Oryza sativa Japonica Group: one gene and its partner. The main gene of each other region encodes a partner of the protein of the gene in region 2 in a complex. Links are inferred from orthologs where the notes say so. Each region holds a gene or a part of one and is shown on either strand. Other genes may lie near its edges.

Region 1 (5,093 bases), on a different chromosome or scaffold from region 2:
CTTCATTTGCCTCGATCCTACGCAATGGGAACGCAAACAAAGAGGTTTGACTGGATTTTTTTTCCCTGCAGTTTTCCTATGAAATTACCACCGTAGGAAAGTTTCCTCTATTTTTCCTAAATAAGAATCCTCCGTTCCGAATGCATAAACAGTACTAATTTCTATAGGAATCGAAATCCTCCATTTTTCCTCCATGAATCCCTCGAATCCCTCGATCCGAACAAGCCCTAAATAGGTCCTAAGCTTGCATATAATAAAGAAAAGCGCAACATTAGTATAAAAGAGCTACAGCATTCTTTTTTCTTTGTTTTTATGAATCCAACGAATCTAGATGCAATTTTATGCTTATAGTTATAGGGATCATAAATTTGGACATTGGTGTTAGAATATTGTTTGTCTGGAGAAAGAAAAGAAACCAAAATATGAGCAATTGGATATTGATCTAGTGTTGACAAAAAGTGAACGATAGGTAAGAAAAAAAAATCATTCAATTGACAAATAGACACAGCCTATGAAATATATTGGCACAAGTTGTTTGTTAATCGGCAACCTCAGCCCTGCTTTGAAACGTAAATCGGTGTAAATTACCGTCAAATTTTTGCCTCGGCTAAAAACAACTCTTTTGCTACCACTCAGAGTTTCACTCTAAATGTGAGTGGACCTCACATTGACAAATTATTGTCCATGCCACTTAGGCCTTGTTTGTTTCAACTTCAGATTATTGTAATCTAGACTATTGAGTCAGATTACTGTAAACCGACATATAATAAGATGTTAGCTGTTTGTTTCTCTAGATTATTAGCTGTTAGCCACCCAATAATCTAAAAAAAGCACCTTTAGAGTGTGTCGACGGTGGATACCCGTAGACCAGATATAGAGGGTATTGGGGTACGTTGGTACGAGGATCTATGTAGTACGACATCAAACAAGCATAAAACAAAGATTATACTGGTTCAGGCCCCTTGATAGGTAATAGCCCTAATCCAGTTGATATGGGATTATATGATGGAAACCACAGATTACAAAAGGAATAGCGGAACTCGATGATACCGACGAGACCGTAGTCGAGTTGGTTCGACTAGATCACCCGGCGGCTTGGCTCCCGTAGGCTCCGACTTCGTAGGCTGAGGTGGATGTGTCAGCGGTGAAATTCAATGCCTTAGGTCCTTCCGGGGGGTCCCTTTTAGATCGCGGGTTAGTTATCCTCCAAGCTGGACTCGGAAGTACCGGACCCCTCACGATATAGTAACGACCCAGTCTTGCCTGAGTAGGATTTCTTCCACATGCGGATTCTGCTTCTATCATGTGATAGATTTCCTTAACGTGTACAAGAAACATTCGTATACGCGCAGATATACCGTATCGGTATACAACATATATCCAAGTGTAGAGGGTATATCTTATCCGTAACCCTGACAGAGTGGATTACCAGATTATAGTAATATGGCTTATAGATTATAATAACATATCATAATAAGCTATCTGTTTGTTTCAACTTATTCATAATAATCTAGATTATAATAATTCTAAGCTGAATCAAACCGGGGCTTAACCCTCGAGCTATCACTTCCCCACTCGTGCTCCTCCCCAAACTTGAGGAAAGGAAAGAGGTTGGGACTAGGTGAGGTAGCTACTTACATGTGCGTTTTTTATTTCTTTTTATATAAGATGCCATGTCAGAAAAACTAACCAACTATATTATTATATTATCATAGGACCTGATTTGTTCTGTCTTGCTAAGATTAGGGACGATGATTTCTGGTATTGCGACTTAAGGTTATCAATTAAACTCGATGTAAAAATGAGAGGAATGTTAAATGGGCTACCACTGAGAGAGTTTCACCCTAAATTTGGGCCAGGTGAGTAGGCCACACATGGACAAATTATTGGGCCTCCATGCCTCTTAGCCCTCGACGTCTCACTGCCTCGCTCGCCCCCCTCCACTCTCCGCCGCCGCCGCGCCAACCTCCGAGCTCTGCTCCCCAGAAGACGAGGCGAGCCACGAGCTCATCGCCGGCGGCGGAAACCCCTCGCTGTCTCGTCAACAGAGGCTAGGAGAGAGAGGTAGAGCTCCTCCGGCGATGGAGTACGTGAACCCTCTCACCGGCTTCCGCGTCGACGGCCGGCGCCCCAACGAGGTGACCCCTACCCTCTTCTCCTCCATCCTCTTTCCAGTTTCCCCTCCACTTGTTCAATCGCAGGCATGGCTTACACGGGCTGGGTATCACGCAGATGCGGCAGCTCAAGGGCGAGGTGGGCGTCGTCGCCAGGGCAGACGGGTGAGGAGATGCTCCGACGACAATGGAATCAGAACTATCCCATTGTAGTTTCGTTGCTGGTGTTGTTCTGTTTGTGCTGTGTAATTTGTGATTGTTCGTTTGCGCAGATCGGCGCTGTTCGAGATGGGCAACACCAGGGTCATTGCCGCTGTCTACGGCCCTCGAGAGGTTGCTGCTCACCCTGATTACTGTGATTTCTCATGCATTAGACGATAGATAGGCCATGTACATGAAATGTTTGATGAATCGTCCCTGTGGAATTTACTTTCATGCCTATGTTATACCTCAACAAAACAGACCAACTTTTTGCAGTGCTTTTTCAGAATGCATGATGAAATGTCTTGATGGTTAATAAAATTGATTAATGCTTTTTTTTTGGGGGAAAAGCAGTTAAGTCTAACATGTCTGAGGACTCAAAACCATTAGGATGAATTTTGCGGTAAAACATGTGGTTATGGTTCCTCAGCGAGACATTGTATATTGTAAGTTGGAAGTTCTTGCTTTCTTTGCTAAGGGCTTGTTCGGTTAATCTCCAAGAAGGCCAAGAGGGAGGGATTGAGGGGGAGGTGTGGAATTTATCCCCTTCAATCCCCTTATTGGTGGGATTAGCCGAACATGGCCTAAAGGGATGCGCCTGATCCCTCCAGCAGTTCTTCATTGTGTTGCTCTGCTATTGCTTTCTCATATCCTTTTTTCTCCCCCACCTTAGAAAGGCATGGTTAGTCAAAAGGTTAACTAATTGTTATCTCATGATTTTTTTTTTGTACTTTTGGGCTCATTCAGGTCCAGAACAAAGGTCAGCAAGTCAACAGCAAAGATGCTTTGGTAATGTTTCATTTGTCCACACACATTCAGCATCAAAACTCTTCTGTAGGATGCATCCCTAAGAAATGTGTCTGCAGGTGCGTTGTGAGTATAGGATGGCAGATTTTAGTACTGGGGATCGAAGGAGAAAGCCAAAGGGTGACAGGTACATTTCAGCTTGAAGAACAAAATTTGATAAAAAAAATTAAACCCATTTGTTTATAGTAATGGATTGTTTTTTATTAGTTAGATTTGGATAAAAGTAACAGAACTGTCTGCTGGCGTTGCAGCAAGTAATGGGCATGTTGGTTTTGCTACCATTTCCAATGCTACCAAAATTTGCCAAGATAAAAAAGCCCAAATATCCCAATGTCTTTTCATAAGAAAATTTGATTTACGGTAGAAATTTCCTCACTGAACAGGCGAACATCACAGTAAATGGCCTAATTTTGGTAGTGCCAAGTTTTGGCAAGGTTGATTTTGGCATCAAAGCAAACATGCCCAATTTTTTTTGTTATGTTTGAATCTGTTTTCACACAAGTGTTCTCTAATCAAATAGTGTGTGTCAAAGGAACCTTTGGGACCTCTAGCATATCAGATCTTGCAATTAAATCAGTTCTAATTTGAATTGCATAAACATGTACTTAATGTCCCATTTTACAAAACTGTAGTAGCAAGCTAGACCATTAATGCTGCAATCATGTGACAGGCGATCAACAGAAATTTCACTTGTTATCCGGCAAACAATGGAGGCAAGCATTTTAACACATTTAATGCCACGTTCACAGGTGAGTTCCTTGGATTCAGTAACTTCAAGGAACTTGCGTTTTTAATGGTATCCTGATCCACTGTCAATGTTTATTATGCTTACAGATTGATATATTTGTCCAAGTTCTTCAAGCTGATGGTGGTGAGTGCACTTTCACATCTTTTTAGCTCCGATGTCCAATCTATATGCCTTGGAGATTCTGTCCATTATTTATGACATAATTCTTTTTTTTCCTTTGACAAACCAAAGCAATACAAGGCTATCTTGTGTCCAGAAAAGAGGCTGATTAAATCTGTACTTTGCTAAACGACGATACATACACTTGCAATGCCTACCAATTCCAATGTGTTCTTTTTTGTTGCTTAGTCCAGCTACAACATATTTGCCTACTTATGAAATATTTTGGCTCGGCTCTCCAAATGGTTTTGATTTCTGACACATCTTGAACATGGTTGTGTACTTAACAGGTACAAGGGCTGCATGCATCAATGCTGCTACATTAGCACTTGCAGATGCTGGGATTCCCATGCGAGACATTGTTACATCTTGCAGTGCTGGTTATCTGTGTTCTACTCCTTTGCTTGGTATGACATTATTATATATTCTATCTCTAGAAAGAATCATCTAGCATTGAGAAACCTCAATCATTTTAATATGCTATTTCAGATCTGAATTATATAGAAGACAGTGCTGGAGGTCCAGATGTCACTGTTGGCTTTCTTACAAAGATGGACAAAGTTACTCTTCTGCAGGTCACAAAATATCATGATTTACTTTTTGATTGCTGCAAGTTTTTGAATTCTCCTAGTTCTTTCATCTATACACACAAACAGCACAACCACAATTCCTCATACAATGTGCTCTCTTCTGAAACACTTCTTGTGCTATTTGTATACTAAAGGGCATCTTTTTTTGTAAGACTTCTAGTTATTCACTCAAAGCAGGACTAATGCTTAAAAGGTAATTTTCAGATGGATGCAAAATTACCAATGGATACATTTGAAACTGTAATGGACCTTGCAATTGAAGGCTGCAAAGCTATCGCAAACTACATCCGAGAGGTAAATAATACTTTGTTGCTTAGTCCCATTATTGCTGGTTGCTTTTGATCTTGTTTTCTGTTAGCCCAATTCCTTACTCGCAGCTCTCACTTTCTAATGATGTTTAGCTCTCGGATGAAAGCACACATACACACAGGAGATTTATTTTGGCTGCGCACCTGCGCACCCCCATACACTGTG
Region 2 (5,093 bases):
CAGCAAACCGATTCGTTGATTCTTCAGAGTTAAGGGCAAATGACGAGTGGTTACTGCCCATGTAGAGATGATTTGCTTTATGACTTCCGTATCAAGCCTCCGAGTCCATGTCTTATGTCTAGTCCTTCGCTATCTAAGTACTTTCCAGTCACCCCATTAGGCAAGCAATCAAGCATCTTCCAGAACACAAACCATATCTACTGACATTACTTTTTTTCTTTTACTCGAGTAGCATAATTGCACTAGCATATACTGGGACATGTACCATTTGCTCCGAGGAGGCACAGGCAGCTGGTACTGCTGCTGCATCGGGTACTGATTCCTCACTGATTACCGGCATTACCGGCCGACAGTTCTTTTCAGATCTGACGACCATAAGAAAAATAAGAAGAAAAAAAAAAGCACGCTTGATCGATCGGTCGTACACATCCAATGTGATACTCCTACTAGCTCAGAATTAGCGCAAAAGACGTCTACAAGACCACCCAAATTTGCACAAATCAGTTCGCAACAGGTCGACTAATATTGGTCCCAGCTCGCAACCGACAGCAACACTGTCCTTCAGAACAAAGCCAGCTTTGAATCCTGTTGTTTTGGAGGTAAACAGGTGTCTTCGTCTCTCGGTGCTGGGGCCTTGCGTTTATGGACAAACGGGGTCACTCATGCTGTCCAGGTCCCGGGTTGGCACGAAAAGAAGATTGATGCAACCGTGCACACAGTTCTACCCACTGATTGGAACGGTGAGCCTTCTAATGATGTACCAGTACAATATTTCACCACATCTTTTGTCTGATTCATTCAAGAGCTGAGAGCCACGACGAACACGGCACAGGGGATCCATCCAATCACTACTACTGATCCCTGTGGACGAATTATTGAGTATCACATTCAGAGGTCGCGAAGTGATGCGATGTATACAGGGGATCTAGCAGAAGCGGCCACAGTTCACTAGAGTTAAAGCAGGTTAAGTGGTATTTGGATCAGGGACAACTTTAGTCCCTATCATATCGGATCAATTTGGAGTATTAAACATATACTACTTATAAAGCTAATTACATAAATGAGAACTAATTCGCGTGACAAATTTTTTAAGACTAATTAATTCATAATTAGCACATGTTTACTGTAGCATCACATATGCTAATCATAGATTAATTAGGCTTAATAGATTCGTGTCGTAAATTAGTCTAGAGTTATAGAATGGATTTTATTAATAGTCTACGTTTAATATTTATAATTAGCATCCAAACATCCGATGTGATAGGCACTAAAAGTTTTAATTCCTATCTAAACAAGGTCTTAACTTCAGGACATGGACAGGATGAGGTACGTATACTGTTTTGGAAAAGGTCACCTTCCCAGCTACAAGACACAAACCATGCTCGTCCACAAATAAGCTCTTCCTAAGGAATTTTCGGATGAACTTATGGACGGGAATGCTTCGCCTGTTACTCTCGGAGAAAAGAGACGTCCATTTCATTTCCATATGAAACGGAAACAACTTGATAAGAGTTGAAAAACACAGCCCAAGCAGAGCATACAAATTCTCTTAGCTATATCTGCAGCTAAAAAGAAAAAGAATAAAAACAGAACGAAAATATCTTGCGCATCCCATATTCCAAAGTAAAACATGCATACCGTGTTAAGAAATGGTTACTAACAACGTGTGTAAGATATGATAATAATAATTTGGTTAATTTGTATATTTAAGTGTCTGTTAATGTGATTTCTCTTTTCTGAATCTGAATAGAAGTTCCGAGTTCGTTCATAAAACACATCCAGTGAGTGAAAAGGCCCATGATGTCAAGCACTGTTAAACATCGGCCCAAAAAGCCCATGTCAACCAACATCGCGAGCATCGCGATCCTTTTCTGGGCTTCCGGCCCATTGTAGGCTGTAGGCTTGCATTGCCGTGGCGGCGGCTGCGCTGCGCCTCCGTGTTCCTCGAGACCGGCCGAACCCGCGCCGGATTTGGGCAGGTTTTACTAGGGTTTTTGCCGATCCGCTTCCCTTCCGCCGCGCCACCCTCTACTCTACCCTACTCCTCCCGCTTCCTCCGCGCCTACCTGCGTGCTCGCGAGGCCGCCCGCCATGAGGGACCTCCAGCTCTCGCTGAACCAGACCCAGAGGGTGCGCCTCGAGGCCGCGCTCCACGAGCTCCAGACCGTCGCCCCCGCCGCCGCCGTCACCGTCGCGGACACCATCCCCGTCAACGACGAGGACAACATTCTCAAGTGAGAGCTAGGCACTTCCCCCCTTGTCTCTCCCCCCCCCCCCTCCCAATCTCGTATTAGCTTTCGTGTGTGGCGGCAGTACGGCTGGACTGATGGGGGGTTTCTCGTTTTCCTCTCTCTCTCTGCGCGCAGGGGGCATGGGACGTCGGATCAGGACGGGGAGGTGGTGGCGACGCTGTGCGGCGTGGTGGAGCGGGTCAACAAGCTGGTGTACGTGCGGACGCTTAGGGCGAGGTACTCAAGCTCTAACCTTCCTCGGATTCACTGACGTATCATAGAATCAATTTTCCAGCGGTTTTACCCGTTTCTTATGAACCTTGAAAAGCGGTTCATTTGCGTGCTCCTTTATTGGATAACTCTGGCAGAACAATGGTATTTTCCCTGGGCGTTTTGTTATAGGACTAGCTTCCGAGATGAGAGCGGGGTTTATGTTATTGTACCGAGTCCAGTAGTAGATTTTGTGGGGTGGATGTTGATGGACTGATGGAGTATATGTAGAATGGGGATTATGGATTCAATTTCGAAGCACTCAGGCAGTGGTAACAACTTGTGATATACTGTGCTGCAGCTGGATTTGTTCTGAGCCTGTAATTTGCACCAAATCAAACCATAGATTTGATATATTTTGGCTGTGGAAATGATTGGTACAGACCATTACAACTTCTTTATGAATTCATTAAAAGTTTGCTACCATGGAAGAGACATACTTTGAATTACTTTACAAGTTCGTAATGAGTTCTGCTACCAAAATACAATGTCCTAGCTACTTTTATTTAAAACTATTTGGTTTCTGGTTTTGAATGTCTGGACAATCTGAATGTAAGAATTGCTCGTGTGATTTCTGTTGGTGGAGAGGAAGCGAGGGGAGCTTCATCTGAATGAGCGTGTCAATTCTTAGTCCATTTTCTCTCTGACCTTTTTAGGTATAAGCCGGAGGTTGGTGATATCATAGTTGGCCGTGTTATTGAGGTACTGACAATTATGCTTTATGGCACCCTTTGGACATTCTTCTTACTGATTTTGGTCCATGAATATCATTTTAGGGATAAAAACTTCATTTTGCTGGATATGATTATTTAGTTAAAAGTTGCTAGAATTTCTTAGTATTTTGACAGTCCTGATAATATATGCATAAATTGGAGTAAGGTAGTTTTGGTAAATCTGGTTTAATATTATAGTCACATCTTCACAAAATCAGCTACTGCTATCTTTATTATTATGTCAGTTCAACATCCATGTTATGCAAATCTATTAAAAAAGATAAATAACCTACTGTCGTGATTTTTGTTTCTCAAGATTGCACCTAAACGCTGGAGGTTGGAGATAAATTTTAGCCAAGATGCTGTTTTGATGCTTTCTTCTATGAATTTACCCGATGGAATTCAGGTACAGTTTTCTCATTTTTTTGTACCTTAAAGCTTATAATATCCAAAGTTTGTGGGATGTCAGATGGCTGAACACAGCTACATCTTCCTGTTATACCAGTCTGGAAAATAAATGATATGGAGTACTACAACAAAGGATATTTCACGCATTCAGCATTCGTTGAAGCACCTTTTCTAGTCTCCTTAGTTATCTTAAAACACTGAATTCATTGAAAGCCATTCTGTTTCACTTAGAAGTTTAGCTTTTGCATTGTTGAAAGATGAAAGATGACTATTCCATTTAAAATTTTGAATTATACTTTAATGAAAACTATTCTATTTCACTTGGAGATATAAAGCATAGAAGCACTGCTCAAGATCAGCATTGTATTTGAATAAAAACACCAACTGAACCAATTTTCATGTAAATGACCAAAGAAAATACAAGTTTGAAGAAACATGGTGGCATGTTACGTGCTAGTGCGTCAGGGTCAATGCTGTCTATCCACTAGCGTCACTCTAGCTGGGTGTCCATTGAATAGATGGCACCATATAAACACTATGGCCACATAGAAATGATTCATTTTACTGTTTTGGAAAATTATACACTATGATGACATCGTTGGAATGTTGCTTGACAGTTTACATATTTTGTCATGTTCAAAGAAACAAATGATGGACACTGTTATTTTATTACAAATTTCATTATTTATTTTCTCGTTTTTCTCTAGTATTCTAGTTAATGCATTTTCCCTGTCCCCATTGTTAGAGAAGGAGAACTGCTGTCGATGAACTTAATATGCGGACAATTTTTGAAGAAAATGATGTTATCTGTGTAAGTATTGTACTTATCCTTTCTCTCTGAAGGTAGAAGGACTAACTTGTTTGGTGCTGGAATGGGTTTTAATTTTGATAGGGGTTTTGACTTAGGCCACGCAATAGATGTGCACTTGAGTATCTGCCATTCCGTAGAAGGTATGATAATATGCCTCTCAATAGACACACATAATGATGATCCGCGTTCTACCCCTTCTAGATCGGCCTGGAGGGAAGCATGCAAACCAAATGGTGATAGTGGCAAATCATCAAGTGTGCGTGTGCATTGACTATTGGGTAGCAGATTATCAGTTACTTTCTGTTGAGTGGTAAATCCACACCTATTGAGTGGCAAACAGTCTCAACCTGCTCATTTAATGCACTTAATTCATCATCTATCAAAACCATTTTTTACCAACTGTTTATGCTAGTCGCCTATGTATCTATATTTTGATTAGCACCAAACATCCATGAATAATGCAGCAGTTCAACTTGGCACATTTTTCTGAACATTTTTTTTTTCTGTGAATGCATTAGTTAGTTCTGGAGAAATTTCTTCCACTCTTAAGGCATTTTGCTTGCAGATTACAAAAGGATGCCTGAATCAAGCATTTTGTATTTTGTTTACTATTTTTTGTTTGTGAGGTCAAATTTCAATGTCCCATACTTCTTTATCTAT

Evidence for each region. Proteins that work in one complex are often made in the same cells at the same time.
Region 1: exosome complex component RRP4 homolog (region 2) and exosome complex component RRP41 homolog share a complex: the UniProt entries of both Arabidopsis thaliana proteins name them as parts of the RNA exosome complex. The link is inferred for Oryza sativa Japonica Group from reciprocal best matches to the Arabidopsis thaliana genes RRP4 and RRP41.

Annotation. Positions count from the first base shown.
Region 1 is NC_089043.1:8,304,580-8,309,672, forward strand, and holds the start of exosome complex component RRP41 homolog, read left to right. Parts: upstream 1-1,932; 5' UTR 1,933-2,081; coding exon 2,082-2,138; intron 2,139-2,232; coding exon 2,233-2,279; intron 2,280-2,386; coding exon 2,387-2,447; intron 2,448-3,062; coding exon 3,063-3,104; intron 3,105-3,181; coding exon 3,182-3,249; intron 3,250-3,792; coding exon 3,793-3,871; intron 3,872-3,956; coding exon 3,957-3,993; intron 3,994-4,319; coding exon 4,320-4,436; intron 4,437-4,518; coding exon 4,519-4,604; intron 4,605-4,823; coding exon 4,824-4,913; intron 4,914-5,093. UniProt on the Arabidopsis thaliana protein: Non-catalytic component of the RNA exosome complex which has 3'->5' exoribonuclease activity and participates in a multitude of cellular RNA processing, maturation and degradation events.
Region 2 is NC_089038.1:26,540,889-26,545,981, reverse strand, and holds the start of exosome complex component RRP4 homolog, read left to right. Parts: upstream 1-1,937; 5' UTR 1,938-2,091; coding exon 2,092-2,234; intron 2,235-2,366; coding exon 2,367-2,468; intron 2,469-3,157; coding exon 3,158-3,203; intron 3,204-3,530; coding exon 3,531-3,620; intron 3,621-4,367; coding exon 4,368-4,433; intron 4,434-5,093. UniProt on the Arabidopsis thaliana protein: Non-catalytic component of the RNA exosome complex which has 3'->5' exoribonuclease activity and participates in a multitude of cellular RNA processing, maturation and degradation events.